2 linked regions of the Lepisosteus oculatus genome follow. The protein of the gene in region 1 purifies or fractionates together with the protein of each later gene. This does not show direct contact. Links are inferred from orthologs where the notes say so. Each region holds a gene or a part of one and is shown in the gene's direction. Other genes may lie near its edges.

Region 1 (16,094 bases):
TGCCTGGTGGCGACAACAGCGGCTTTCGCCTACTCCAAGTCAGGGCAGGTACAGTAGCTGGAGCTTTCATTGTTTTTTTTTTAATATATGTTCCTGATGTCACCATGTCAATTAGGGAGGGTGAAAAAGTGGGGAACTGGCGGAGATGTTGGGTGACGGGGCAGTGGGGTTAAGGAGACAAATACCCCTGATTCTCTCTGTTAAAGTGATGCTGGACCAATCTTACAACAGCACACACTGTGGCCTTTCATGCTGCACCAGTAGTAGGGGAATCCCTTCCCCAAAAGATTCACTTTAATCGCCAGCACACGTCTCTTGCTACAGCCAGATCCTTAATGAAGTGATTAGCAAGCAGGATCTAAAATATGAAGGTGCCTATACCTGTATGTACTGCGCATTAACCTTTGTATATTAGAATGTAACATTTGTACTTGTATATTAAGACAAGATGTTGGCTGGCAGCAGCGGCAGTCTGAACAGGCTGTGGCGTGTGACTCTGGAAGGTTTTGAAATGGGTTTACAGCAGCACCAGTCCTTTGCCATTCTTGCTTGTTCCAGTACTTGAAGGTCAGGAAGCACAGACGAGTGACCTCTCTTCCTGGACCTCCTCTAGGTTGATTCAGAGCTGGCTCCTCTCCAGAGTGTCTTTGAGAGCTACAACGGCAGCAGCCAAGACCCTGCTGACCATGCTGTGGATTCACTCCAGAAGGAGGTAGTCATTGGGTGGGAGCTGTTTATTTTAGAGCTCACTTCCTTTATTTGTGGCCAAATTACTTGTTTTTCACAACCACGATAGAGTAACAATCTAAAGACTTTTCCCTACCTCACACAAACACCCCTCCGTGTTCCTGCTAGAGGGAGCCTAAAATACAGACAGATGGCTACAGTGGGAACCCCCTGCAACAGGGCTTTGACTGCTGTAGCAGCCCTCAACAGTCTGGTTTGTAAATGTGCAGTTTCATCATACAGCATCATGTTGGATTGCAACAGGTTACATTTTTATCATACTTGAATATTCAATGTATTCCATGTAGTCAGAATGTGCTCATCAGGATGCACAGATGCTGTTTGCTGCTTTCAGTGCAGTGTAGGGGAGTGGTGTCCTTGCACGGGACTGGACCTTGTTCTGAGCTGCCTGTAGGCTAGTCCAGTATTTGCAGGGCTGGTTCCAGTTAAAAGGTGCGGCGAGCGGAGCAGACGCTAACGCCCGGCCGCGCTCTGTCTGCAGCTGCGCTGCTGCGGGGTGCGGGGATTCCAGGACTGGCTGGCGACTCCCTGGTTTAACCACAGCGGCTCCCTTCAGGTTCCTCTGAGCTGCTGCAACTCCACCTCCCACAACTGCAGCGGCAGCGTCCACCAGCCGGAGCTCCTGTACCCCCAGGTACTGCCCCCTGCGGGACCCGGGAGACCCCGGGACTCTGCTGGGGTAATCTTTGACTAATTATCCAGCGCAAGGGGAGTGTGCGCTAGGGGCTCCTGTTTCGATGTCCTGTGAGCTGCCTGTATTGATACCACCGCATCCCACTACATTCTCACTTGGTTTACTGTGGGGGAGCTCTAGCTCTGTTAGCACTGCTACACATGTCAAACTACTTGTCATTCTTATGAGATGACCATCAAAGATCCAAGATTATGATTTGAAAATGCTTTGACACAGTTAATTGTGCAAAACAAGTGTTATTTGGCAGTTGTAGCTCCAGTTCATTTATTCTTGATTAATAAATCTACTTTAAAACTGATCTGACAGAAGGATTTATAGCTTTGTAGTTCAGTAGCAGGAATCGCCAAACCAGATCCATTCCAGCTGGAAAAGGTAACCATTAAAAGATATAGAACAATTTCTAGTTGGTTAAACTAAATAATTAAAACTAATGATTTAGAGATGATTGAAAACAAAAATCTGAATATCTTTCAGCCCTGGAGGGACTAGAGTTCCCTTGAGTTTTTATTATTTGACCATTAATTTGCAAATGTCCCCAGTCATGTGAAATGGGAGCTTTATAGTAACCTATAAATTGTATTGGATTGGGGCTCTGCTGGACCAAGGCTAAAGACTCTTGTTCTTTCCTGTTTTTTCAGGGTTGCCAGGAGAAACTTAAAGATGCTTTGACCTTTATTCTGCAAGTAACCCTCATCTCTGCTGCTGTGATAGCTATAATTCAGGTCAGTACTAATGAAACTTAAGGAGTGCAGTGCAAAACTATATGAATTCTTGTAGCATCCCAATGTTGTCTAGTTCAGGATTTTCTAACACGAAGCCTAAAGGGCTTCTGAAATTCCAGGTTCCCGTTCTTTCTGTCACATCTAGAATACTCACATGTCCTACCTGGTTTAAGAATTTAGAACTTGACTATTAAAACTGTGTAGATATTTAACAAGCAGTAAGGTATGTATCTAGAATGGTTAAGTGGTGTCCATTTACATTATCTTCTAGATTGATTTCTGAGATCATTTTTGCTATTATAATGTTTAAAAGCGTCACCAAGTGAACCTTTCTTGTTTAGCCACTTTGACCTGGTGTGTTTGGGATGCTGTATTTGCATTGTTTTAGCTGTATAAAATGAAAGCCCGTCTCGGCTAGCATGAGAGAAATGAAGCCGCAGTTTCAGTATTAATTAACTCTTTGTAAAGTATTTCAAGCCTACAGTACTTTTGACTTTTGCCACAGCCCTCATTAAGACAAGCAAACTGAATTTATATGGATGTCCTAACAATTCAAATTCCCTTGTACTAAAGATCCTGAAACAAAGTCTCATCTGCTATCAAAACTGAAGAAATTCAGTTCTTTTAACCTCGTATGATGCTCCATTTTGGTCTGGTTTCTGCTTCTTAAGCTCTTTTTGGGGCATTTATGTCCTTTTTATAGTGTTGCAACCAACACTATACATACTGAGGTCAATGCAGTATACACAGCTCTACACTATGTACCCTAACATGACTGACTTTATTTATACTCTCTGCCCAGCTCTTTCCAAACACCTTCGACTGCTCCTTTATAAATGTCTTTCAGGTGTGGCAGATTGCTGTGTTAGGGGGTGCAATGACAGTGCAAGGCCACTAGAGGAGGCCATTGAGACAGGATGTGTATGTAAATAGCATACAAGTATGCAGTTGTTCACTGGGTGTATTAAGGTGTTGCAGTGTGAGACTTCAGACTGGAATAGTGTAGGCTGGAGAAGTGGTGGTAGCTTTTCTCCAGATTAGCCTCGAGATCAAAATCCTGGAACTGTCCTGTATTTTGGATTTACAGTACTTCTTTGTTAGGAGTTTTTATCTGCAAAGACACCTGAACTCTGCTACCTCATCTGGGGACCTCAAAGGATATATCCATTGTTAACAAACTCCTCTATTCAAATTCTGGTTTTTGGCCTTCTTGAATGTCCTAGGTTGGGTTATTGCAGCTCTACATGCTACCCTCCCTGCAGCTGCAGTCTGCCCTCTGCTGTTCTCGCCATGAACCCACTCTCTCATTTCTCTCGCGCAGCTCCTGTATTGGACTTCTCTTTGGCTCGCTGCTTCTGGACACATCCAGTGCAAGACTGTTGTTCTGTCATATTGCTACCTGTCTCCATCACTCTGCATTTACTGCTGCTGGTCCTCGCAGCTCATCAGACTTATTTTTGCCATAGTGTTGTTTAGTGTTTCAGTAGGTTCTGAGGTGGCCCTCCTCTGGTTTTCTCTGAGTTTGCTTGGTTAGATCATTTTGCATGTTGCATTACATAACTGGACACATCGCCTGTGACGTTAGTGTTTCACTGTCCAAATTTCAGATATTTCATTAATCCCTCCTTGAATGAAGGCACCAGCAGGAGGGGAAGAAAACATCCCTCTACGATCCCCGGTTAACACTGCCTTCTGTATTGGCAGGTGATGGCTCTTGCCAGCGTGGTCCAGCTGATGAAGGAATACCCACTGCAAGAGTATCGGATCCTGGACCGAGACCCTTCCTCCTAGAGCAAGAACAGCCACCAGCAGCTCCGAATGTCCACAGGATCTCTGCTCTTCCATCACACCTGAGCTCTGACCCTTGTTTTTCACGGACGTTCTCCTAGCAAGCCATGTGAGGGCTTTGGCAGAGTGGATCTCCAGGACTGGGACTGGCCTGTACCCTGCAGAACCATGCAACACGCAGAGAACAGCATCACACCGGACAAAAAGATGTTGGTATATTTAATTTACTACAGGTTTATTTTGATCTGTGGATTTAAAAAAATCTCACCCATAATGAGATTTACAGAAAAACTTACTATGTACAGAATGGTCTTTTGCTACAGAGGTCAATGTGGATCTTTCTGTACAGCCCCACTGGTGGAGGGGGTGACCAGTTGATAACGGCGTTTGATGGCTGTTATTTAAAAGTGCATTAGAAGTGATGGTCAGGCACCTTTCTTTCTGCCATGTGTAGTGTACTTCTAGCATTTCGCCTCGGTCACAAAAGGAAAACACTTGTAGCACTGAAGAGGAGCTCACCTGTTTCAGCATGCTGCCTGGTTCCCAGTAATCAGAATTAATTGGTATGTGGATTGTGGTTTTTAAAATCTAATGGAGAATTTAATAAAAGGTCCCAGAGAAAGGCATGTGTAGCACTTTGCTGCTTGTTGTAAAGGTATTTTGTAATTATGACAGCCTGTTAACCTTTTCTCAAACTTCTAGGTCTCCTTAAGTAATATTTTTTTTTCTCGGGTTTTAAGTACACTAAGCTGCTGCATAAAATTGCATGACTGTGTTCCATTTGTGGTTGCAGTGTTAGCTGTAGGACAGTGTCTTCTTACTTGCTTCCTCCTGGAATAAACTCAACATGCTGTGCATAAATAATCGGGCATTACAGTAGTTGGAGTATTTAGTCGGATTCCTACCTTCCTAAGGAGGGTGGCTTGTTATTGCTTTCAGAAAAGGAAATTCTCTGCTCAGGGATGTTAGAGAAGTTGAAAGCAGTACTAATACTGGTTTGACTTGATTACCTTGGAAAGGGTTTATCTGATGGACCAAGTGTATAGCTTTCAGAGGGAGAAGTGGAACCCTTAGGTTCACGCTGTACTTGCAGGAGAGATTTCTCCAGAAAATAAATGAGGTTTGTGTTTTCCAGAAATGAGATGACGGCTACTAAAGCCGTTCAGTCCCAGTCCCAGCATTATCGAACGCCACGGTTTTTCTGGGACTTGTGGGTCGTCTTGAATGTTCTTGTTTCATTATTTTTTTTTCTTTATTTTCAGATAGGAAATTGCATTGTAACCCTTTTGCCGAATTGTTGAATGAGTACTTGTATTTTCCTGATGAAAGGGTAATGCTTGCGGAAAAATGCACTTTTTGGCACTTAATTAAAGTTATCTAATCCAGTACTAAAGGCACAGAATTTGCAATGTGTTCCTGCTTTTATTTTCTAAAAATGTTAAATTTGTTGCAGATCCTTGAGAAGGCAATGTTGTACTGGAAGGGCCTTAAGTAAGTCCCTGTAACTGTTGCTTCATTTATTAGTCAGCCAGGGCACCTAACCGTTAGATCCAATCAATACATCAATCTGTTTTCAAACCGTTAAGCCCCTCACACACACTCACACACTTGCACCAGGGCCAATTTTGTACAGGAGCCTGTTAACCTACCAGCATAGCTATGGACTGGAGGGGACCTGGATGAAAATCACTCGGCCAGGGGAAGATCATGGAGATGACGCAGGAATTGTACCCAGGGCCCCAGCACTGTGAGGCAGCAACGCTGGCCACCGCACCACTGAGCTGCCCTCCAATCAAAAAGGTGTAAAACAGCAACTCGCAAACCTACAAGACAGCAGTGTGATGGGTGCAGTACTGAATCCCAGCTGGGATTCAATCACTATTGCTCAGAGACCAGGTCTGCAGCAGTGGGAGAACTCCTATGTTTCCAGGAATAAATGTTTAGTTTGGTAACATGGTCACTGTCACTGAGTGCTGCTTATCAGCATCATGGAGATAACATGCAGAAACAAATACAGCGTGTGCAGATGAGTCATCGCAGTGCCCATCTATCAGAAAGGGTAACTGTATTTGAGAAAACAGCTTTTCATCCCAAAGGATCCCCAAAGCACATTACACAGAAGAAGGGACACAGTCCACTGCTGAAGTGCACCACCTGCCGCTGCATGGCCAGAGCTAGAGTAGGAGCGGAAAGACTGCTGTGATCCGGGTCCGAGGGAATGTGGGAGGGTGTGCAGGGAGGATCAGGGATTGGGGGCAGGAGAGAGCAGCAGGCAGAGGAGGGAGCAGAGAACTGGATGCAAACAGCAATAAGGAGCCAGTGCAGGGATTTAGGCCAGCAAAGAGACTTACAGTAGTGTGATTGGAAGAGACCCTGGAGCCCAGAGCTGAGCATTTTGCTGAGGAATAGGAAAGAAAGTGTTGGGAACAGGAGAGGAAGGAGTCAAGGATGATCTGTGTTTTCTGTTGGTGCCCGAGTAGGAGAGGGTATAAGGTTCAAATAGAATAGAGATACGACAGTTGGCAGGAGAGGAGTAAAAGAGGATCAGTTGAGAGAAGCTGACCTTAAGGTGGTATGAAACCTTCCAGGAGGAGATGCAGAAGGGGCTACTGGACTCTGAAGGTGGGAAAGAGAGGAAGATCAGGCTTCGTTGTCAGTACTGCCATGAAGAGGGTAGGACCACCAGGGTGCGGGTGCTGGCGAGAGAACAGGTGGGGTCTCGGCACTCTTGTGCAGAGGGGTCGAGGGGCAGGAGCCCGTAGGCAGGAGCAACTACAGAGGCGCCAGGACAACAAGCTGAGAACCACGCCGGAGGTTTCCACATCGGACAGGAACGAAAAAAGAAAGAACGCTCCCTAGCAAGTGAACTGCCAGTCTGGACGTGGTGTTTCATTCCTCCTGGTAGGAAATCTGAAGTATCCCGAGTGTGTTGCCTCGAGCAGGCTGAGCTGGAGGCACAGAAACCGGTTTGGAAACCAGAGGGGTCACGGTAAAGCAATTTGATTACAGCCGTTATGAACCAAAGCGTATGACACACCTTGTAAAGCGGAAGTAACAGCATGGCTTCATTTTATTTTTACATTTTTGTGACGCCTTTTGTCTGTGAATATGGTTGAGCTCAAAATGATATAACAGCCATGAGACGGGAGTGCGGATACTCCAATACAGAACGCTTTTTCTGCAACACTCTGGAAAAGAAATACAGTTCTCTTGTCAATACTAACTACTTCTGTATAACTTCTTCTAATAACGTAATCCATTCCAGGGTCATAGAGGAGCTGAAGCCTGTCTCCAGCAGCAACAGGCACAAGGCAGCGTACACCCTGGACAGGATGCCAGTCCAGCACAAGGCACACACTGGTGCCAGTCTTCCCACATTGGCAAATAACCCACCAGGATGTCTGCACAGTGGGAGGAAACTAGAAATTTCTCCCTAGAAATCAGCTGAGGAAACAGCTGCTACACGGGTATCGGTACTGAAGGAGGCTACACGAAAAATGCAAATTAACTCCAAATACTGAATGTTGATAAAATGACCACTCTTTTTACTGGTATATTTCATTCACAAATGTCTGCTGACAAGATTATCACTGATTTCTTTTTGTGACAGAATAAACTAAGAAGACAATGGTATAACAATTTACCCTCCTACCCCTCACCACCTACTGTACCTAAAGGACACCTTAGCAAGAGCCAGACAATTACAACGGAAGCTGCACAAGAGGGATTTAACAGAGCTGGGTTGCTGTCTGCATGGAGTTTGTATGGTCTCACTATATTGCTATGGGATTCCTGCCACACTCCAAAGACATACTGGTAGGTTAATTGGCTTCTGGGAAAACTCCGTGCATCAGAAATTGAAGCTGGGGCCCCAGCGCTGCGCCACCGAGCTACGACTCCAGATTTATGAATTCCCACGTAACATTAGATTTTCTTTTCTCAGATACGTTGCAAAACTCACCAGCAACGAGGTACTAAGTTTATTTTGAGGCGTGCTTTTTTTGCATCCCGGGGAAAAAAATAAGACAGGTGATCTCATTTGCAAATACAGGGTAGGTTATAACGCATTACAGTATCGCGATTCCCCGTTATAGCCACGGTTTGCAGAGCTGACGGGGAAAAAATCGTTCTCCACTTTTCGTGTCCTTACTGGGAGGCTTCTGACCTTGGACGCAGATACGATAAATCCTGAACGCCCATTATTTGACGATCACTGAAACAGACCCAGCCAACCCTGATGTTAATGTATACGGGCCGCTCCGCAGCTCTGCAACTACATAGAGGGTGAAAAAAAAACAATGTAATCTTAAGTGATTGATGGTACCGTGGGACAATTGCACTAGACGTTATTAGGACAAACAGACCGCTCATCCAATCACAATGCGAGGAAGGCGGGAGCTCCCTGACGTATTTGACCGTGACAAATAAGATAGCCAATATAGGTGCACATCGGGAATGAGTGACAGGGGAATTGTCTAATAGGGGACGACGGGGGGCGGGACGTGCGCAAGTCCAGTCTCTCGCCGGCAGTGGTCGCGGATCCTGGTGTTCATTGTGTCAGGAGGAGCCGTAGCTTCGAAATAACAACGTCGACATCAGAGCCGGGGTCGAGCTCTTTACCATAAAAACAGCGTCGGAGTTACGGTTAAGCAGGTGAGTCGCCTCGAAACGTCCCCACGGCTCGGTGTGTAGAAAATGACGGGGTTATGGATGAAAACGGGGGGTCGCCATGCGGTGACGAGGAGAGGCCTACGTAGGCCCCTCCGAGTAGCCGCCGCCTGCGCGGGGTTTTCAGACCGGGAATGGAAGCAGGCAGAAGGCGCTGTGGATGTAAAGAAACAGCGGGGATTTAGGGCCTGTGAGGAAAGAGGGCATGAGAGACCATTATTTAATTCGCACGTTTTTGTGTTTAACGGTAATTTTCATGTTTTATTTTCTGTTTTGCTTTTACGTTGTGTTGTGTAAGTGCTTGTAAACTCACGCCCCCCCACCATCACAGCCTGCTGCCAGCCTATGCCTGGGAAAAGCAGAATGAGTCTGTGACGAATATCTTAAATTCTCCACGTATATGTTTTTAAAAAAAGGGCTTTGCAACTTGGCTTGGATTAGAAACGACCAGCGCACTAGCCGTAAATACTCACACGTAATGATTTTGTATTTACATTCCGAAAATGTCATTTGCATATCTGTCCATAAGCTGAGGTGCAGAAAAGTCGTATAGAAACTCGTTAAAGTTTTAATGGTCTTTTAATGGTCTTTGGCGAGTATTTTATTAATCATGCAGCTTAGTGTGGAAATAAAACTCGGTTGCATCCCCAGATCTTTGATTTTTACCGAAAGCTAAAAGGCGGCTTTTCTTTCCCTGGTGTCTTTTTTTTCCTGTCCTTGCGCCCAGTTGGGCGGTCTGTTTCAAAATCAGATGCGATGAAGCCGAGAACGGCCTCTTCTGAATAAATTGAAGCCCTTCGCTGCGGTCCCGTAGGCTAGTTGCCGGTGAAGCCGCTAAAATGAAACGCTTAGCTCGTTTGCAGAGTCTGTCGGCGGAGAGTCCTGGACAGATTTCCCCCAGACAGCGTTTGCATGTGTGAGAAGCGGCATTTGTGGCGTGATCACAGTATTGATGCGATGCCGGTGTGCTGTCGCGTCTTTACCAATTAAATACTGTAACTACGTGTACCCTGGTAGTTTGTGTCTTCAGCAGTGCATTGCAGTGTTGAAGAATGTGCGCTCACCTCGGTGGGACTCTGGTCTGTTCACCGTGAATGTGAGATTCCCTGATACCCAGTCGTTTTTCATCCAGGCTCAGGTCTCCCCGAGCACGAATGAGCGTTTATGTTTTTAGTTACTCAACGGGACCTTGTCTTTTTGTAGCTGAGGTCTGTAATCATGGTCCCCCAGGTGTTGATAAAATTGCACGACCAGATTTGCGAGTGTCTCTTGTTTAAGCCAGAAAACGCACCTCAATTTATTCTCGCAATGCTGCCTCCCCTCCAAAAAAAAAGTCTTGGCTTCTATGCTTTTTAAGAGTCTTGCGTGCATATGTGAATGTTTAACATATAAAATCCTTATTTTTTTTAAATATCGTATAGTTTTGAGTTTACTTTTGTTTTATGGTGTAGTGAATTGTGATAAAGTAAAAAACAAAACAGGTTTATAGACCTTTACCAGGGTTGTTTTACAGGTTGGATCTTTATTGATATGCGCTGGGCCCACAGTATTTTTCACATATGTAAAATATCTTCAGTCATAATAATTTAATCAAAACAACTATAGTTGCTATTTGCATGCATCGCAAAGTATGTTGGTTTTGCAGAAAGTAAGATGGAGAAAAACAGTTGTGCCTTTTTTGCAAAAATGTTGGGAATCCACTGCTGAAGCAAGGAGTATAGCCACTGGTTGAAATCTGAAAATGTTAACACAGAAGTCATTTAATAGTATACACATCTGTTTCATGCATTGGGTTTTTGGAATTAAAGCAGTTTAAGAGATTAATAGAGATTGATTGTTTCCCTTTGGTATTTTCACCCTCATTTTATGTTTTACAAATTGTAAGAATCCAAATTGTCTGCCAACATTTCTACAGGTCTCCCATGAAGGGTTTATAGTTAATGTAAAACTAGCTGCATTTCTGTGAAGGGGTATAGTAATAAAATATCTGTAGGCACAATGAAAGTGATGTGTTAAAATACATGCTGAAAAATTGACCATTTTTCTGTTTTTTTTCCCCACAGGTATTTCCTGAAAAGGGCTGACCACCTTCTGTTTTTTTCCCTCCCTTACCCCATTTTTCACAGCATATTTTTATTACTTTATTTTTTGATACCTTCAGATTTGGGATCTGCGAATTGTCTTCATGGCAGTCAGAAGGGGCCACATTAGATACTTAAAAGTGAGTAGCAGATTTGTACACTAAGAAAGTTTGTATAGAACTGTATTGTATTCAGATATAATGCCCTAAATATTTCAGGACATATTTTAACGTGAGTTTTCTATTGCCATTTTTTCTTTCTTATACTATCCTTTTCTTGTAAATTGTATAAAAAATTGTTTACAGTTAAAACTTGACTAACTTGGTGTAGGTGCTGTTAAGCTGAAGAAGGTATGCCTACCTTTGTAGGTTGGCTGAATATTTTATAGACAAGTGTGATGAATTTGGGTTAGCCCCACCCCCCTTTCAAGTTTAAGGTTGTTACTATTTTCCTGCACATCCGGCAGTACAGCAAGCAGGGAACTTGCACTGCATTTCAGTTAGAGCAATTTCAGGCCATTACACTGCAGAGCAAGGATTAACCAGTTTACTGAAAAGTTTTAAAAATCAGTTCTTTAAAGGCATTTTGTGTTCTCCAACCCTTAATTATTAGCTTTAGCAGTTAAGCACTGTATATGGCTTGTTCTTAAAGTTTCATGTCACAACATTTTAACACCAGCTTACATTTCTTTGTAAGTATTGTAAGATATCATGTTTACGAATAATACTATACATAATGGGTTTAGACTGTAGTGAGATAAGTAAGTTTTACTCTGCTGATGTTGTTCAGACCATTGCTGTCTGTGGTTTGAGGAGCCAATTGAGCAAAGCTGCAATCTGTGAGGTTGTGAAGGAATGCCTTGAAGTCAAAGCAGGTGGAAGTGGAAAGTTGTAAAGCTACCCACTTTCGGTACACTTACAATTAAAAAGCTTTGTAACATTAGTGTTAGTAAGCTGTTCCTCGGCTTTATCACATTCCAAAACTGCAGTTTTAATTAAGAAAATCTGAAAAAAATGCAAAGCTGGTAAAGGGGCTGTTCAGCATTTTCGTCACAAAATGTTCTGTGTTCTCAGATGTTTGGCTTTCTGAGAGTGATGTTGCACTGTTTTATCACACTCTCTCACAGTGCACATAAAGAATAAGGAATCTTTTGGTAAAAGACCTGCTATATTACTGTTGTAGTGAAAATATGAATGGTGCTCATTTGGTAGCTAGTTGATCTAAGAATCTCATCCTACCATTTCTTGAAAGGCGTCTAGGTGTTGTCTTCTACAGCAAGGCTGAGTGGCTTGATCTACACTCTCACAACGCTTTACATAAAGAAATTGCTTGAATATTGTGTCAGAATCCCCTGATATAATTATTTTACACAAGGTGTAGCTCATGCACATTTTACGGCAAGTATAGTGTGAAGGAGTAAGGATTTTTTTGTGGTGAGGGAGATACTCTGTAGTGTCCTGAGTGTGCCATCCTTCTGTGGCATGAAATGAGTACACAGATTGAGCTTGATATAAAACTGAGCTGCAGGATATTTGAAGACAAGTAGTGCATGATAATTGTATTGATGGGGAATTGCACTGGTTAGTTTAATATCTAAACCTTTATGACGTAGTGTCCAGAAGCCCTTTAATGTTCCATTAATGACTTATGTCCGAGGGATTTAAAGTCACAGTAACATTTGAAAGTATTGGCAGCATTGTGTAACTTGCTGAAAGTTGATTTTCCTCTAGTTTTCTTTCAGGGTGTGTCATTTTTTTTTAATGCATTTTGGAATCATTCAGCTCACAGTGGTGTTGATCATCGAGGATGTTCATTTAGAAAATCACATTATTGGCCATATGCAATTTCTTGTATTATGAATTTGTCTTTTTGCATGCCCCAACTTGCTCTCCATAAGACACAGCCTGGGGTCAGAGCGCAGGGTCAGCCATTTATACGGCGCCTTGGAGCAGTTGGGGTTAAGGGCCTTGCTCAGGGGGCCAACGGAGGAGGATTTCTCTGCCGGCCGCGGGATTCGAACCGGCAACCTCCCAGCCACAGGCGCAGAGCCACTGCCCCGCCCCCCATTTATCCTGGTCCAGGGCCAGGACTGAAAAGCACTGGCCTGCCCTTAGCGACTCGAGTTCAGTTCGCAAGGCCTTCAGTTGAGTTTCAGCAAGTTCAGTTTGCTGCAGCTGATTCTCCCCAGCAGCTCCGGGGCTTGGACATAATGAAAGAGCCTTCTCTAGTAACTGCTAAGTATGCAGTGTTGCACAAGAATGACAATAAGGTGTTTGTCAGTGGGGAAACTTGAACATTTTGCAGAAACTTTCTGAATCAGTAGTCTAGTCCTGCAAGCAGCGTCAGCAAACAGAACAATGTCTGCAAAGCAGAAACCCTGATCTTTATGAATGTCCTCATTCTTGCAATCTTAGGTCTGCTGCATATATTTGAAACACAGGGTTTCATTCAGAATTTCGAACAGCTTGCCATTGCACTCTCAATGCAGACGTGAGTCAGGTTGAGAGCATTATAAGATGTATTTTTTTTATTCTAAACATTGACATCATTCATGCAACAAAGCATTAAACATGCCAGCTAGTTTTGGTTCCCTTTGTGAACCCATGCTGAGTACATAGCCTACACCTCTCAAGACTTGTGCCCAGACCACAGTATTGAAGGAAACGTTTTTTTTTGTAAAAAGCGCCTTTTTTATGGTAGCTGCTTACCAGGGGTCAAAAAGGCCTGTTTCCCTTATTTGCTCTCTGGCTTGAGAAAAAGTGCCAGAGAATGGTTTGTGTACCAGGGAATCATAGTTATTGTTTGAACCTTATTTGTAAATACTACGTGCAGGTTTATCAATTGGAATATGATTTTCAGTACAGTGCATCTGTTCAGTGGATATTATGACAGTAGAAATGTTACGTTGTCAGCTGCAGCACAGTTTCTTTCCTTGTTTGTGATGCTATTGAAATATAATTTGTTGTTTATTTTAATCAGAGGCTGTAAGATGATTTTAAAATTGGTGGGGCAAGTCATTATTCTCTCTTGTGAATGCATCCATTCGTACTTATGCACCTAGATAATACCATTATTATTTCAGAAGTGAGCTTATTTTATTCTTAGCAAGTTACCAGTATAGTTTCATTTAGTACAGGTGCTTCTAAGTCATGTTTGTTACACAATGTCTGTTTTCAGCATGAGCATAGCATCAGGGAAGGAGTTGAAGAATTGGGTACCTTTGGTTTTAAGTCGGTGTTCTAGTCAGAGGTGGTCTACCTTAAAAATGTAGCCTAGAATCACTGCTAACAACTAAGCATTGCTTTTCAATTTAATTTGCATTTGTGTCATTTGATAAACTTATTCTTGTTAAGCAGCACTGTTATCTGCTTCATTTTCCAGAGTTACCTGTTAACCTATTAATGAGGGCAGTTTTCTTCATGTTTACCATGTGAGCTTCTGCTTTTTGTACTTCAGTATTCTTGCATTTCATCTTAAGATGTGGTACTTGAATGAAATGACACATTTGATATAATGGAGTAAAAATAGAAATGGGGGAATTACTTGTAAACATCAAAGCAACGTGGTCTGTTACAGCAGATTGTGGTGTATGTTGCATTGGAGGTTTAACTAGTGAAAGATGCGTGAGTATAGTGTCAGCAGTATGGTCATACAATACACCTCTTTTGTATTAACATAACATATAACATGTTTTATTTTATTGCTTTTGGTTGAGCTTTTCTCTTTAAAAGTACTGTTGTTGTTTTTAAAAATGAAATGGTTAGGGGCTGGTTTTCCTTATCTTTATTCACAGTACTCCTGAGCTTGTGCACGGCTTCTAGTGCACTAAAATGTAACCCTTTGCCTTTCACGTTTCTAGGAAGTTTATGACATGTCAAATGGTTACGAAGACCACATGGCAGATGAATCAAAGGATGCCAAAACAAACTTGATCGTCAATTACCTTCCCCAGAACATGACCCAGGATGAGCTGCGTAGCCTTTTCAGCAGCATCGGGGAGGTCGAGTCCGCCAAGCTCATCCGCGACAAAGTGGCAGGTAATCCTCATTAGAGACACGAGCGAGTCCATAATGATAGGGAGGCCTTCCATGGCCATTCAAGATCACCTTGTCAAGCGGTCTTTGAGTGAGTGAGTGTGCCATTAACTTGGCTCATATGTGAGTTAAGTGAAAATCCTACTTTTTTTTTTAGCTCTGTTTTTTCAAGTCCTACTTGAAAAACAAAGTTGTAAAAAAATTGCAAACGCTAGTTTTCATTGAGTCACTATGGGCACAAAGAAGGTGCTTTTATTTTATTGCTTTTCGTATGCAACTCAGTGTGTGTTTTGTATGGAAATACTTATCCATACCTTCAGAATCTTAGTTATGGAGCTGCATTCCATTTGTGTGTGCATTCATAGAGGTAGTGTATAAGTTCCCTCAGATTATTGGATGTACGTCTTAAAGACTCAACTCTTTTTTCCTGTTTGCACCCAAATGTTATAAAATGCGTTTTTTTTATTTCTGCAGCAAGGCTCAAAATCTTGTCCTCTGCACGTCAAATGATTGGCAGTTTGGACCTCTAGGTTACAACTTTTAGGACACTAAATGGATTTATTTATTAGGAGGGTGGTTTTGAGAGACCAAGGCTTATACACATCCTTTCAGAATGTTATGTTTATATAACATGTAATTAGAGATTAGATCCTTCCCAGTCTCAATTTTACAAACATCCTAAGGTTTGAATTATAGTCTTGGCCATATTCTGTCTCCAGCAAAGCACTTGTGAATGTGTGAAGGCAGTTTTCTTTTGTACATGTTTGAACTTTATAGATTAGCATGCATTGTACAGATTTATTTTGTTGAAGAATTAATTTTTCCAGTCTACAGAATTTGGAGCCATTAAACGTTTTTTATTTTATTTTATTGTTTTCCTTTTTTTTCTCTAGGCCACAGTTTAGGGTACGGATTTGTTAACTATGTTAACCCTAGTGATGCAGAAAGGGCAATCAATACACTCAATGGGCTGAGACTACAGTCTAAAACTATCAAGGTAACGTGCAAAGAGGTGTTCTTGTATACATGTGTCAACTCATAGATGTGACTTGTGTATAAATAGTCCCTGGGCAGCAGAGGGCTAACCCTGTGATACAAAGCATCCATTTTATGTTGAAGATTGAGGAGGTGAGCACTGGGACATAGTTCTGAAAGGCCTGGTTAGTTTAAAATTGATTTTTTTTTTGTCCAGTGTGCAATTGCATCTTACCTGATTTAAACAAAACCCAGACCACTGGCTTGCTCTTGCCAAGAGAGTTGTCGTGCAGGATTTCTTTTCTGACGACTTTTATATCCAAGTGAGTGTTGGGGAAGGGAAAACTATTGCAGCTAAACTTGAATATTCTGTATACTTTGTATT
Region 2 (16,238 bases), on another chromosome or scaffold:
TTTTTGTCGTCCACATAAGTATCTGCATTCGCAGAAATGATGTACATTTTACTCTGAAGTCCCCTGTTTCTACAAGATGCAGACAAATCTAAGATTTTGTGATTTAGAAAGCAAATGGACACATTGATGTGTTAAATGCATTTTCATTTGTCGTTCGTTTCAGCATTATACAATGAAACTCCCACAATTAAAATCATACAATAGATGTATCTTTTTAAAAAATATATATTGACTTATTAGATTGTATTAAACTATTATAGTACGGAAACAAAATGTTTAAACCCAAATAAAATAAGAAAGTTGCAGGATAAAATCTAAAACAGAAGATTTTTTGTTAAAATCTCACAAAGAAGAGAAGGGATTTTTAGGAATGCTGTTACAGGAATGTGCTGGAAGTCTCAGCATTAATGCAGCTGTCTTAAACATGAAGTATGGAGGGAGAAATAACTCATTTTTAAGACAGTGTTTACATCGTAATTAAAGTTTCTAAACAAAACTAAATTTTATTGAGGCATCTTAAAAAAAAACGAGTGAGATGAACAGTTCTTAAACATGATTTGTTAAGATCATAGATACATGTTACATTTCACACCATATTGGTGGGGAAAAAAAAGGTACTTACCTGCAATCATGTGTGTAGATATTGTGGTGTACGTTTTGTAAAACATGATGGTGGAATTCAGTTCACAAAGGGAAAAACATGCAAAAGCAGGGTCTTAATTGCAAATGAGTGGGAGATGTTCAGATGGAAAAACTGAGCACCTGTGCCTACATTCATTTCTTGAAAAGAGTAAACAGTTATAAAATGAAGTGGATCCAACTAGTCAATACATCCAGAGTGCCTGCAAAGTCAAGATGCCTCATGTTCACGAGAGACGCTTTATATAAGATCATTCTCTCCCATGATACACCAACTTGTTCACCCACACACACGCACACACTCAACACGCCTCCCCGTGCCTGTCGCCTCACTCTTCCTCTGCCTCTCAGTAGCTCACGCTCGGAAAAATAAGATCTCCGGTTCCGGTTCTGCAGACTTGGGGAGGATGTTTGAAGGGTTGGCGAAGAGCAGGATATCGTTAGAATTCATGTTTTATAAATCCCCTCACGACCTCGGAACTTTTGACCAGCGTTGGCGTGTCGAAAACGTCCTGTGTAAGATTGTAAACCGTGATAGATGGATATTCCTAATTATTTTCCTAATTCTTAAGGTAGGGTTCTAGGAATCAAGATCTAAACTCTGGATTTTGTGTTTCTGTCAATAAAGATTGATTGAACCCTCTCTGTCTCAGCAGCTCACCCATCCCCGGACGCAGGAGCAGAGGAAGCAGTCTGCAGACACACTTGTCGCCCGAGCCGATCAAGTGATGTTTCTCCTTACTGTCGGGAGGGGAACCTCATAACGAAAGCTTTTTCCGGGTGTGAGACTATGTAAATCGGTTCTGATGATTTCCCAAGCAGCTCTAAAAGCCACAAACCAATTTTAGTTCCATACTTGTGGCTTCAATATAGCACGTGCATCGGTTTACAGAACGACACCTTCTTGCAGGACCTGACAGCATTGGCGTTTTAAATTTTGCATTCGGGATTAATTAATCTGGATTAAGAGCAGCCTTTAACTGGGAAGATTATTTAATGTTCCTGTTGAGGCAGCAGTCAGGAGCTCACACACTGCTAATCTGGTTTGAAGGCTTGTCACTTAAATGGCTGGGCACTTTGGCATCTTTGAACTGCTTTGAAAAACACAAAGGATCACGCTGTAAAAGTCTGGCAAACTGCCTTGCAAACAAACACACACAAATAAACAAAACATGACTGTTGAGAAATATATGGCAGACTGCTTACTATGTGCAGTTATGTACTCAGACAGAGAGATGAGATAAGAGACGTCTGAACAAAATCAAAAGCTCTTTAAATCTGAAGCTCATGCTCCTTCATAGAACATTGATTGATGTAAAACGTCCTGACAAAAACTGTTTGCTTGTAGGCAACCTGGATATTTCTTTTTCAGGTTAGGTGCAATTCAGAGGTCTTAAAGAGCTACTTAAAAGTCAGCTGTGTCCCTTGTTTGTTTCTACTGGTGACAGTGTCTTATTATTTCATACATGGTTGTATGATTAATGAGAGGTTTTGTGAAGGGGGAATGGATAATGAATTAAATCTGCAAGGACCACATCTTTTCTAAAGATGATCCTACACAAGTAACATGTTAGTAATTATAAGTTAAATCCCTTTTGTGCTGTGGTGTAATTCTGTCTATCACATCCACTGAACTGTTATTCTGCAAGAAAATATATATTTTTCAGTCAGAAATTAAATGCACTGTCTGTTCAACATTAAAAATTAACCAGAAAATAGGTCTCTTTCAGACGTTTTTTTTTTCTGCGTGACCTTCAAGAATTTAAGATCAGACTTTACCAATAGTCAAGTGTTACCTTGAGAAATGAAAGAAACAGCTTTCTCCTGCAGTCAGTCTGCAGACACCTTACAAATGTGAAATTGTTTTCGTTCAGATAAGAATTTGAGAATCTATGTCAATTTCTCCTCAGGTGTGCCATATCTTCAAGACAGCTCCTTTTCATTTTGTTTAACGGTAACAGTGAAGATTTTTAAATGTGATTCTCGCAGCTGAAGACCTGAAGTACTGTACATAATACATTTATGCAAATACAAATATTTGGTTTAATCTTCATTTACATGTATTAGATGAAGTACAGTCCACTGTCCTTAAAAAATAAAAGGAAGTGCCGAAGGTTTTTACTCATTTTAAAAACATCATGAAGCAAAGGAGCAGGAAGTTCCATCAGCATGTTCTACTGCAAACTATTGAACATGCACAGACCTGGGGGTGTGTTTTGGTTGTGCTGGGGCAAATTGAATGCACATGTCAAGTGCTGCTTTGTCCAGTGGTTTTAATGGTAGTTTTGTGAGATCACATGTTTTGAAAATTGCCCATCAGCTAACCATGTTTATGGTTGTTGTTTTTTTTTGCAGACCAATACAATGTCTATAGTGATGGTGCTCTTCAGGCGACACTCAGCATGCCATCTGATTTCAGAGCTTTTATCCTTTTAGGTCCTTGCACTGAAGGGGGTAACCGGATTAAACCCAGGTTGTATGTGAAAAAAAACACCCTCTTCTGCTTCCCTGCCTGCGTGGCTTTCCGACCAAACAGACTGGGATCAGCTTCAGAAAATGTATCGGAAAAGAAACATTGCAGTCCGTCTCGTGGTTGCAATATCGCTGAAGGAGAGTGGACTGCAGGGAGCAGAGTGCCGACCGAATTCTCTTCTTTCTTTTTCATGCAATAATCCTGGGTCCGTTTGCTGTGAAACTTGGCCCGTGCAGAACTGGTTCTGAATTTCAGCCCAGGGCAGCTGCAGTGTGTCCCCCCAGCCCTCCACTGTCCCCCCCCCCCCCCCCCCAGTTTAGGGTTCAGCACAGCGAAGACCACAGCACGTATAAGAAAGCTCAATTACCGATGCCGTGCTGCTTCTATCTTTCAAATACACCTCCATGTTAAAGACCTCCATGTGAAGCAGCCTTCTAACTTCATCCAGTCCCTGTTCACCAAAACACGTTACCATGGTGCCTAGAGCCTGGTGCACGCTAGGATGTTTTGTTCAAACATGAACACAGTTTGTCTCTGCAATCTCCCGCATGATGGGAGAGGGAGTAAGCATAATAAGCTCATTACTTCACACCATACTTTGGTTTTTATTTTTGAAAAGCCACGCCTTACTTCATACGACCTGCAGAGTGAGTGTGTGTGTGTGTGAAACAGAGGAAACGACCATCCTACATCTTAATGACAATAATTAGTCAGAACTAATTGTGTGTTTTAAACTTTCCCTAATTGTAGATTATGTCCCTTTGCACAGCCAGAGTGGATGAATGAGTGTGCAGAGGGGGCATCAGATACCACTGGCTTGGATGAATGGGTGTTGTTAAGGTCTAGTGATGTAATTCATGTACATTTGCACAGTGCTGGTCTACCTTTGCGAAGGAATGTGTGCAGAGATGAACATGAGTCACGGACACCTGTCTTCATCCTCGACGAACAGATTCCAGGTGTATGACGCTGCATGAGGACGGTGTGCTCTGTTGGAAACGTGCTGCTCATCCTGTCTGGGAGCAGGGCAGGTCTGAGATCTTTTCCTGGACTTGGAGATCTTCCAGGGCTGAGGGCCGGGCGGTCAAGACGCTCCGGCTGTGTGTCCAAGCCCTTCCCTGTTCCAGCAGGGCCCTCTCCTCCACCGCGCTGAGCTCGCCTGTTCTGAACGGGATTAGACTTTTTCAGCTTCTCCCCAGTAGTAAGACGCACCTGAGGGACAATAAAATGTGCACACAGATCAACTGATACAGTCTGGGAGAGGCTTGGAAAGGCCCCGAGCAGAAATCAATTATTTATTTGTGCGGTTTTTGTCAAAGGGTGACTTTTAGCACTTTCCACCAGCCCTCCCACCCTCCTAAACCAGTAGCTCTGTTTGCTTTTATAATTAAAAAAATGCGTGAAAGACAGCTTTGGTTAGCATGCTGTTTTTTTGAAAGGCCCGTGAGGCTGTGTGGTCAGCCAGGTAGCGTCCGTCCTGCGCGGACACTCTCCTCTCCGGCAGGGAACAGGAAGGGCCGACTGGAGCCAGCGAGTGACCTGGGGACGAGAGTCCAGCTCTGGCTGGGCTCTTCCAGACAGAGGCCTCTGGCCCCTGCCAGTCTCCCAGCCCGGGCCGCCAACAGGGCTGACGCAGCGGGTCTCTGTCCAGGTGGGCGCTGGTGTTATTCGGCTACTCTCCCACTGGGTCACCTTCATCTTTGACAAATGGGCACTGCATTTCTTTTTAAGCCTCTGTCTCCCTGCTTCACGGGAAGCCCTGAGGTTAATAATAATAATAACAACATCAATTTATTAACCCTCTGCAATTTCTTGCATTAGGAATTTGTCTTTTCACATACCCCAGCTTGCTCTCCCTGAGACATACAGACAGGGAGAGAGAAGTTTGGGGTCAGAGCACAGGGTCAGCAATTATACAGCACCTGGAGCAGTTGGGGTTCAGGGCCTTGCTCAGGGGCCCAACAGAGTTGGAGTCCTCTGGGGGCCACGGGATTTGAACTGGTAACCTTCCAGCCACAGGCACAGATCCTGAGCCACAGAGCCACCTCTCGGCTGAGGGTTCAAGCCAGGGCAGGTGAAACCAGCATCAGTAAGAACGGCCTCATAGCGACAGAGGGGCTGTCTCCTGTCCAGGCTGCAGGAAGAGGGGTACCTGACAGCGCCCACTCTTCCATTCCTTCAGCAGGAAAAATGACGCGGATACAATGAGCACAAAACCGGTAAAGCTTTTCGCTGCAGGGGGGAGATCGTGTATTTCAATTACACTACTTGTGTAGAACAGATCTTTTTCTGATTTGTTCTCATTTATAATGTAATGCAATTAGAAACAGAATATAAAAGACTGCAATATCGTTTGAGATGTTATTGGAAATATTTTTTTTCATGGCATAGATTTTTGCTTTGGCTAAGATGTGTTGATTTCAAACTGTAATTGATTTGCAAAAAATAAAAAGCCACTAAACAAAGTATTACCATTTACATTCCCCCCCAAAGAAAGAAGTTTGGATTTGTGTGTATGTGCCAGTCTCGTTTATTCGCGCAGCTTAACTGCCCCTTAGTGTTTTAGGAAAACACAAGCATTTTAATCAAAAACTGTAAAATGCCCGCAGATAATTATTTTTAGATTATTTTATATCTCGGCTTGATTACAGCTCATAGGTTTAATTGACTGTCAAAAGAAGGCTGGACAACTACTGCAGAATAACTTTAATTTGATCTTTATTTAACCATATGAGCCAATCGAGAACAAATTCGCTTTTGCAACAATGACCCGGAGATTTATTTATAGAGCACGGCGTTTACCGCCGCTATCTGAGCGAACTGTCTTGCTCAAAGTCACAGCAACAGCGGTCCACGTGGGATATGAACCCGCAACCCTCTAGTCCGGAGTCCAGAGGCTGGGGCCCCTATCTGTGACCCAGTAAATTTAATTCAATAAGAGAAAACTCGCTGCGATCTTGCATCATGCAGCTGTCGCAGCCAGCTGAATCTGCCCACAACGCGTGTTACAAGTAACGAACAAGTACCCGTCTGGAATACAGAACTGTTGCAAGAAAAAAAAAAGACAACTCGGACGCGATACGTGTAACTCGATTTCCTCCGTGTGCGTGGAACGCCCCACGCCCCACCTCCACCTCGACCGAATTCACTTGAGCATTCCCGTTTCCCCTGACGTTGATTTTAGGGGGGTGGTCAGACTTTGTGTATATTTATTAAAGATCTCAGTCAGTAAGTGCATTGTGTGCGGGTTTTCGCGTGCTAAAAAGCAGCATGAGGGATCGATTTCAAAGGTTACAAAGAACTAACTTGTGAAAGACGATTTTGTATTTCGACTGGTCACAGTTTCACTACATTTAGGGTGGCCCATGAATTGCGTTTATTTTTCTGTGGGGATAACGCGTTACTCGAAGAACGGTGTTCTCTTTTACACCATATAGGTCTGGTAAATGTTTATTTAAAGGGGGTTGGGAGAAGAGATCCCAACGAAACGTGTTTGTTACAGAGCGCTACAGCCTTTCCGCTCCCGGCGGCAGCTACTGCGCTTGGAGGCCTAGTGCCTGGCAGCACCATTTTGAAACAAGAAACAGAAACCAGGGAGAGAGAGTCGTGCTGCTTGCCGTCCTGTCGTGGTTACACGATACACGCGGGCCTGCAACAGCTCAGTGGATGAGGAGGGCGGCGGCACGGGGGAGGGGGGGCGATTCGGCGCTGTGTTCGCGCGTGCTGCGGGGTGCGGGCGCCGCTTTCCGACTCGCGCTCTGCCCGTCTCCGGGTCTCCAGCCCCGCGTGTAGCCGACACTGGGGGGAGTGGGAGCGGCCCGCCCGCGCAGCGCGCCCCGACCCCCCTCCTCTTCTAGAACGCTTCTAGAATTCGTTTTGCGCCGCGCCTGCCCGGGACGGGCTCGCCAAGGCTCTGTGCCAACGAAATGGCCACCCTCTCGGCTTGGCGTTTCGCAAAACCACCGCCCTTCTCGACGTTGTCTGCTGGGGAACCTCCCGGGCGGCCCGCCTTTATGGTCTATACCGCTCAGGCAGGGACACCAGGCTGACGGGATCACGGGGTCACAATTTACCCCCCAACCGCCTCGCTCGCCGACCTCCCCCCTGTAGATACAATAACCCCAGCGGCAGGGGGCTCGAGCTGGGTGTGCGTGTCCAAGCGACCGAGAGGGCGATTAAATGATTCATTCTAGCGCTGATGAGCGCCCATCGCCATCGCTGGTGCCCCAAAGCGGGTGTGTCGAGCTGACCCGCGATGGCGCGGGGGGGTGTGCACACAGACACCCACTCGCCCGCCGGCGCGACCCCGCGCTCCCCCCTCCCCGTGCTCGCGCCCGCCTCCACAGACGGACACACACCGTGACATGCGCGCGCCCTCGGCAACATCAGCGCAGAGCACGAAGGCCCGGGCTGTCTCGCGCACCCATCCGCGAGGGGCCGGCCCTCGCTCTCGTTACTCCGAGACCACGTGGTTTCCTCTTTGCAAACACACACACACACAAGAAGAAAAAAAAATTGAGGCAATTTTTTTTTTTCAGGTCGGGTTTTAGAGGCGGTGCCACAGCTAGGCAGAAGGATCTGTGACGGTGCGGGGGTATAACTCGAGGTTTAGGGGCAGAGAGAGAGAGAGGAGCAATTTTTCCCCCCTGATCGCGCCATCGCACTGTTACTATCGCTGCTGCCGCCGACAGCACCATCGCCGCCTGTGCAACAATCTTCTCCCCAGTCCAGTTCGCCGAGAGTGCGTGCGATTCACTTGGAGATCCGCGGCGCCGCAGTCTCGACGTCTCCGCTTTCGCTCGGCGAATCCGAATTCGGCAGCTCCCGGTCGCGGCGACCCCACTTCGCCCACAACTTTTTTTTTCTCTCCCACCCATTCACCCCGATTTCTTTTTAATTTTAATTTCGAGGCGCCGTTTTATTTTCTCCTTCGTTCCGAGTAGCCACTCTCCCTCTTCGTCCTTCCGTTTTGTTTTGTTTTTTGGTTCCAATTTTAATTTCGGGTCCTTGGTTTTTTTTGTGGGTTTTTTTTTTTAAAAAAACTATTTCTTTTTTTTTTCTCCTGGGGGACCGGTAACAGTTGTGTTTTTCACCACCATGAACAAGCTGTATATTGGAAATCTGAGTGAAAACGTGACTTCGGAGGACTTGGTGAAAGTCTTTGAGGACTGCAAGATCCCTTTCTCTGGGCAGTTTCTATTGAAAACTGGCTACGCGTTTGTGGACTGTCCAGATGACCACTGGGCGATGAAGGCGATCGAAACGTTCTCTGGTAAGCTCTTTAAAAGTAACGAGCCCTTTCTTTAACCAGAGCGGTGTATTTAAACAATTTACAACGAAGTGTGAGTTTTTTTTTTTGGAGGGGATGTGGATTAAAAAAAAAACGCGTACTCCGTGAATTTCTCTCACTCCAATTTCGGAATCCACTGAGTTTGTTTGCAGAGGAGAGGGGTGTCGGGGGGAGGGGGATTATCTGATTGAAAACCAACAGATTTCGGTCATTCCGTTTAATTCCGTGTGGGAGGTGTTTTAAAACCTGGCCGAAAGATAACTTTTAAACGGGGTGAGTCGAATCGGCAGCAGAGTTTAAAAATGGTCTGTGGCAAACTGGTGCCTTACAAGGTATGTGTCCCAGTGAAACAGGTTGCTATTGATATCTTTTATTATTTAAGGCAGGCATGCCTGGACCTCTTATTTTTAATTTAAAAAAAAACGTTAATTGGGAATCCAGTCCCCGAGAGAACTCCCGAGGGGTGGCATTGCTCTGGTCTGTATATAAGGGTTTAGCTATACGAACACGATCCCCTCCCCCTTTTGTCATGATAGGCCATTATAGATAAGAGGAATTGAATTTGTTTGTACAAAAATAGCCAGTGATTAGGTCAAACATGCCTTATGGATTTAAAGAAGCGAGAGGTGATTCTCGAATAACCGGAGAGAAGGGACCGTTGTACGGTCACAGGCGATAGGCGAATCGTCCGCGAGTTTTTCGGTCCTTCCTTTTTTAAAGAATCAATTTTCCTGATTTTGTACATTACCCCCTATAGCATGTGATGTTCCCTATAGCGCGAAGGTCGCCATGCTGCTTGCGCTTCAGCTATAGTCGCGCTACGAGAACACGGCGGGCGACTGTTTTCCTTCGTCATAGTTAAACGGCTCCACGCCGAGAGAACCGGGGAAACTTGTGACCCCGCAGAAAAGCGGGGTGAAAAAAAGTTAGCAACACCCCAACAAGACAAAAGCTGTAAAAGTTCCCCTAGTCGTGCCGCTGCCCAGTAATTTCTATAACGAAGACCATTACAGCTTGGGGCACGACTACAGAGAGGAAAGGCGCCGTGCAGATGTTTAGGTGTGTTGATATGTCACCTTCCGTGCCTGTAACAATTTTTTTCCCTTACATCGAGTACCCAGTGTATGAAGTTGTACCCTTTTTATTTTTTAAAAAAAAACGTATCTTTGAACTACCACGTCAGGGTTGCGGAACTGGGACCCATTCGGATCTTTCCTCAATTAAAAAAAAAACAAACAACAACTTTCTAACTGCAGCAGCTAGGAAACTCTTTCCATTTTGTGAAAGCCAGCCGTGACGAGACAAGAACGAAAATGCGTTAACATCCCCACAAACAAAAAAAAATCAAACTGCTCGGACGGTACACAGAAGGGGGACGTTAATGCAAACACGACTGTATTTGTTTTTCAGGTAAAGTGGAGTTGCACGGAAAGCGCATGGAAGTCGAACATTCTGTGCCCAAGAAGCAAAGGTACTTCGGGTATTCGAATTATTTGGGGGTGTCGAGTTTTCTTGAGCTCCGGGTGGCCTGGAATGAGTTTTGTGTGGTTGCATTCAGTGGTGTGCAATGAAGAAGGGATCCGATCTCGTAGGGTGACGAATTCCCTCCTCACTGTTAGTTCTCGAATTGGGCCTGTTTTCAAGTCCAACTCCCTCTCCACGCCAAACTTTAATTTAGGCTGGAAAGACTAGTCGTAATTTACCCTCCCTCCCCCCTCCCCATAAAAAAATGACGGATTGCTTTCGATTCGAATCAGAAATACATTTTCACTAAAAGAACACCCTGAAAGTCAATTGCACGAAATTTAGTGTTTGCTAAAATTTCAATTCATTCTCTCGCCATCTTGAAATTCATGCACGTAAAAAGAGGAGAAAATGTCTTTTTTTTTGAGAATCTGGGACTGCTTGCTAGTGAACAGCTCTGATCAGAATGTCTTGGTTGTAGTTGCAGGTTTTGAGTTTAAGGCCTACTGGTCATGAAGGTTAGTGAGGCGGTGTTGTGCTTTTAGTTGTTTTTTTTTTAATTTACCTGGGCTTCGAGAAACCTGGTGTGTTTGCGAACGAAGATTATGCATCTGTAAAATTGGTTACTAAATTATTTCACGCAAATTTGCTAAAGTTTTTTTACATTGAAATGTTTCGCTTTTTTTAAAAAAAAGTATGCATTTGTTTGTTAGGAAATAATTGGCGAGGTTTTATTAATATTAAATACAACTTAACTTCATCACCTAGATACTTGGGGCTGGAAAACGGTAATAAATGTTGTTGGGGAGTATCTTCCGTGCCTTTTGTGTGGAGTAGAAACATTCTTTCAAGCGGTGCCCTTTGTTTTGGCATTGTGCTAGTGAAACGTTAAAATCTTCATCTTGGCTTCTCGGCTACAGTATCTTTCTGTGCATTAACTGCCCCCCTGAACGCAGAAGTCGTCTGTAGGACACTTTCTCAGTTCGAAGACGTTTGCCGTTTTAACAGCTACACATTTTAAAACTCCCCTCTCCAGCTTGTTTTCTGAAAGCGCTTAAACAAAAATAATCGAGGCGCCCAGTACAGTCGCTGGAGTTTGTGTGGATGTGTTGGTTCCGGGGGAGGTGCGCGGTTGGAGTACAAATGTGCAATTCTTGGGTCTGTAAAATACTGAACTGCTCAGTAGAACATAAAGGTGTTCTTCCCCTCTGTCTCCCCAATTTTAAAATGTGTTCAAAACAAGTTTTTACAAAGCTGGCCTCAGCCACTCCCCAGCCCCCAAGCGCATATTTCCCCAAACGTGGGGTGGTGGGGTTAGGGGGGTGACCCACTGGGGATCAGGACCCCTCCTGTCCCTTAGCACGACGTTCTGGTCCGGCCAGGACCACAAGAACCGGACCGCTCGGCCACTGACCGGGCCCATTGTGTGGTTCGAACACACCGAACCAGGCCGCAAGACTGGCGTGGGGGTTCGTGGTGGTTTTGTTTAAATTGTTATTTTTAGAATGTCGTCCCCGGCCTGTTAGCATTTCATTGAACATTTTACCGAACAGAGCGCAAGTTTGTTTTTTTTTTAAAAAAAAAATCAAAATGGAGGCTTTTAGGATAAAAAAGGGAGTTTAATCTTTCTGGATTTAAAATAAAAGCCACGCGGATGGCGTAGTCTGAATCAGACAGGTCTGTTCCGCCTTATTGGGAGAATTATTGTCAGCAGTGGCAATAATCGATTTCTGTATACGCGCTATGGAAACCTGTTTATGATCAGCGAAGAGAAATACGTGTTCGACGTGCAATGTCTTCCTTTTTACATTGATCTGAATTATAGGCCGAAGCGAAAGAGTCCAAAACTTTATTTAAGAGGGAAAAAAAGTAATTTTCCAGCAGCAGCAGAGCAACATGTTTTGCAATTTCAGGCAATAACATTATTATAGCGAGGGGAGTGTGCGCCTTTGCCTTTTCATTCCCTACAAATTTGTAATGTATTTTAATTAATTCCATGCGTCAGTTAAACTATCATTGTGGTGGCTGACGATAAATATGCACGTATTTCATCAAAAGCCTTCAAGGGGTAAAAGAAATGAACCAAATAACAACAACAAAACTTTCAACTTTAATATTTTTTAAAAGAAGGGACAAAAAGATCTTGACTCCAAACACGTGCTTCTCTCGCAGTACAGGGCCCGCTTACGTCACTCGCCACAAAATAATGGCGTCTCTCGGGTCTGGTTTGTAACGACATGGCTACTCCTCTTATAAGGCATATATACGGCGACGTAGATCCCGTGCACCTATCTTAATTCCTGCAGACGAAAAAGTATTTACAACAGAATTGTGAGATTTCACACTCTTCAATTTTAAGGCGACAGTCTGCTTTGTGTGAGGGGAAAACTGTTCTTATGGGCAGTGTATTATTTCAGGAAGATCTTTGAAGCTGTCCCTAGAGGAGTAGTGAAAATAACCTTCCCAGGTCTACAAGACTGCTCGAAAATTTCCTAGGCTTTTTTTTCCCAGTTTGGTTGCAAGATATGGTTTGGGAAAAAAAATATTTTCTTGAAAGTGTTTAAGAAGGCTAATGTTTGTAGGAGGGAGTTTATAAAAAGAGGTTTCCATACACAAATGGCTAAGGAGAGAGAATGCACATGTATATAGGTGATTTAGTACATATTACACAAATAGTTTTTAACAGGCTGATTCACTTTTAGTTCAAACGTGTGATTTGTTTTTGTTTGTGAAGATGGGTGTCATTGCATTGTGGTGAAATTCAGGCAGGGCCTGACTGAGATGCTGGCGTAACACTCGGATCCTATTTGGGATAGGAATGCAGTTGTGAACAGGCCCTGTTTCTTCTGCCATCTCTACATGTGACTTGGTATGTTAGGGCTTTTCATGTTATTAAAGCACTTCCTATACACTTCCTGACAAACTGTGGTGAATTTGCTCTCCTTGGGGGTGAGAAGAATGTGGCCTTTGTCGGTTTTAATCAGGACTTTTTCAAAAGATGGAAATCGTGGTAAAAAACGAGACAAAAGCCGAACGGAAACATTTACGTGAAACGGGTCAGGGTGGCGAAAAATTGGTTTGAATGCTATGTTCCCGTTTGCCTCTTGTTTGGGTAGATCTGTTTGTTGCTGGAGTGTTGGAGGTTCGGTTGTAAAACTATTATCTCGCACAATGGGCCACACATCCTTGTGTCGCCAGGCGGGGCTGCGGGTCATTGTGATGTCACAGAGGGGATTGTGACCTCACACTGGCAGGACAGGATTTGGTGAGTTAGCTTTTGACAAGGAATCCAGTCGAAATGTACCTGCAGACATCTTCCGTCATCAACACCACAAATGTAAATGTCAAGAGGAACTGAAGCCATTTCTGCCTAGCACTTGAAATACCTGTTCTCAACCTATGCTTTATTTTAAAATGCTAACAATATTAATAGAGGTGTCTTAGTCATGCATTGTTTAAGACAGCGGTTCTAAGCTTATAGTTTCATTGATCAAAAGAAGTCACCTTTATTTGATGAGAAATTGGTTGGTGTTTACAGACATCCATGGGTGATCCCTTATGTTAATTTTAGGAAGTTGCCAGGACAGAATAAGCTCACGGTTCTGCTGTAAAGAAAGAACACAGACCCCTAGTCTAGTAAATTTCCAGTGTTTGTGTGTTGTCGGAACAGTGTTAAAACTGATTATTCCGGACGGTTTTAATTCACTTGCCATGCTGGTGTCAAGACTCTCCATCATCTTAATATTTTTCTTGCCTACGAATATCCTGAACCTTCAGGGAGGTTTAATCAGTAGAAGCCCCAGTGATCTATCGCTGGGTATGAATTTGGGGAAGGGGGGTGTGGAAATGAGGCTGTTGTGGTCTTCCCCGTCGTCTGTCCAGCTGTGTGCTGCACTGTCGCCCCCCTGCGCTTGGGCTCTTCCTGCTCGGGAAGGAGCTGGGTTCAAGATGCGTGCCATTGGGGTGTTGATTTTTTGTAGCGGCTGGGGTCGAGGAGGCGGATAGGTGTGGGAGCGTGCCCAGCCTGTGCCGAGCTCTGGCGCGGGTTCAAAGCCAAGTGACCCCCGATGCGGAGTAAACGCACTGCCCATCCAAAATTTAAAATATCTGCACCGCACCTCTCCACTCGGGAGGCGTGAGTGAGCAGCCTCCTGTGATGCTGGTGAAGAGGAATTGGCATAGCTAGGTAGAATCTGCACCCCTCTGCCAGGCTGCCTGGTGAGCAGAGGCCGCTGGGCGGCTGGGGGGGGTGTTCTCTGTTTGCGCAGGGTGTTCGTTCACCTTGAGGTGCCTGCCTGGGCTTGTGGGCTTTAAACAAGAGGTGGTCACTTGGGCTGTGCTAGATGACTCTTTGGAATGCATGCACCAGGAGTCATCCGGCCCAGTGATGATAAATCGTGGAGCACCGTGGAGATACCCTGTGTTTTGTATCACTCGTTTTTTTTATCGTTCGAAACCCGTGCCTGTGTTGTTGTTCGGAATCTTACCCGTTCGATGTTTCAGTTCCCGGTTTTCTTGGTTTGCGGTTCGAGCTCCAGTGTGGAGTTCTCCCGATCTGGCCTCTTCACATGTGCGCCGATGTACTGCAAAGGCATCTGTGTGCTGAAAGCATGTCGTAACGGCGGTGGTTTGCCCCCAACCATCTAACATGACCCTTAATGGCTGATATTTTTTCAGTAAGTGTGCAGAAGTCATTAATTAGCCATGTGCTGCACTGCAATGCAATTAAATGTACATAAATCTGCTTTGATTTGGTTGTGCCCTAAGCAGTCTCTCTTCTAGTTGAAAAGGTAAGTCGCTGTATGAAGTCTGTCCCTCCCTCGATGGAAGACTGTTGCAATGTCTTGGCTCTTAGCTTTTTAATGGAAGGAGGAGTGGCTCCGCGCGGTTGTGTCAGGGGGTTGTGTAGAAGTTGGGCTGTGGTTTTTGAATGCAGTTGCCGCCCGAAGGGGCTGTGTTCGAGACGCAGGCATGCCGAGGAAGAAGGTGTGCTTGTGGAGAGAGGAAGCGTGTGTGTAGGATTCGAATCTTGATAGTGTTGCTTGCAAGACTTGTTTTTTTTTTTAAATAGGAAAATAGGAAATGTGCCTTGAGAAATCCGCGCTTCAGAAAAGGCCAGCAGTCGGAGAAAAGTGAGAAAAGTGTAGCTGTCCTGTTTCTCGTTGCAAGCATTTTCAACCCCTGTCCTGTCCTGCGTCCTGAGCCCTGCAGTCCCAGGTCAGCAGTGTGGGGAGAAGGTGGTGTCTATTGACTGTTGACACTGGCGGATTTTGAGAGCGCCGTCTCTTTAAGACCCCCCCCAGGCCTGATGATGCCTTGTTCCTTCACTCTGGTCCGAACCATCTGTCTGCTTTTTAAAGGGGAAGAGCCCCCATTCACCTACCCCCTCTCCCAGAGCAGAAGATGTGCTATTGCAGCAGCCATCACTCTGGAGACCCCCCCTCTGCTCCGCGCTGGGGGTGACACCAGTCTCGCCCATCGACCTGGAAGAAGGAAAAAAAAAAAACCCTCTTTGAGTTCTTCTGGAAAGGCAGATCTCACTTGAGTGTAGAATATCCAAGTAGCAAGAAGACAGCCTTTTAGTAGCCTTCAGTCAGAGAAGCAAGGGGCGTCTTCCAGTGTAGGTGCTTATTACCAGCCTGCTGTCTGAGTGGAAAGAAGCTCCGACTGGTGAACTTTACACCCAAGATGGTGAAACACCACTGGCTGTCAAAACCAGCTTCATGGCCCCTCGAGAATTACAGTTCAGGTGGCAGAAAAAGTGGAAGGAGTGCAAAAATTAAGAGCAGGACCCCCTGAGTGGCAGACTGGGCAGACGTCCGGACGAGTCTCCGAAGGAGTGTACTGGCACTCGGGTACAAAAGACACATTTCAGAATATTTGACCTGGTTAAATATCAGTTCAGTCCCCGCCCCCAGAAAAAATGCCCCGCACAGGGGAAAAAAAAAAAACTGTTTTAAGGGCACTTGTTCATGTGCTGGTTGAAGGAAAATGTACTGATATGGGTTAGAAGCCATCAGGGTCTTGTGTTTTTCTGAGTTCAAATGGGTGCGGGAGATCTGGTCTGGTCCCCCAGCTTGCTTCTGGTTTGTGAGCAAATTGGCGAAAGTCTCCTGTGGCTCGGGTGCCCAGATGCCGCCCAGCAGACTGTCCCTGCACTCAGGTGGCATGCGGAGAGCGGGCTGCCTGTCCGCAGGGTGCTGGGACGCGGCGAGTCCAGACAGACGCCACCTTTCCCTCAGCAACTTGTCTGCGCAAATGGGTGCTGCCTTCGAGATCGGCTTCCCAAACTCCCCAAAGTCATCCAGAAAAAACAAAACTGGAGGTGAAGTATGCACACTGTTGATGGAGAGGAGGGGGAGGGAGGGGTGT

What was found.
Region 2: the proteins of elavl1a (region 1) and igf2bp1 purify together in Homo sapiens (co-immunoprecipitation; 3 studies listed by BioGRID and IntAct, with this or other methods). This does not show direct contact. The link is inferred for Lepisosteus oculatus from reciprocal best matches to the Homo sapiens genes ELAVL1 and IGF2BP1.

Annotation. Positions count from the first base shown.
Region 1 is NC_090724.1:1,297,419-1,313,512, forward strand, and holds the start of elavl1a (ELAV-like protein 1a), read left to right. Parts: upstream 1-8,451; 5' UTR 8,452-8,604; intron 8,605-10,682; 5' UTR 10,683-10,804; coding exon 10,805-10,840; intron 10,841-14,559; coding exon 14,560-14,737; intron 14,738-15,627; coding exon 15,628-15,731; intron 15,732-16,094. Other genes in the region: tspan37 (tetraspanin 37), read left to right, coding at 1-48, 614-712, 1,229-1,381, 2,080-2,163, 3,868-3,954. UniProt on the Homo sapiens protein: RNA-binding protein that binds to the 3'-UTR region of mRNAs and increases their stability.
Region 2 is NC_090723.1:9,505,527-9,521,764, forward strand, and holds the start of igf2bp1 (insulin-like growth factor 2 mRNA-binding protein 1), read left to right. Parts: upstream 1-7,637; 5' UTR 7,638-8,209; coding exon 8,210-8,384; intron 8,385-9,812; coding exon 9,813-9,873; intron 9,874-16,238. UniProt on the Homo sapiens protein: RNA-binding factor that recruits target transcripts to cytoplasmic protein-RNA complexes (mRNPs). This transcript 'caging' into mRNPs allows mRNA transport and transient storage.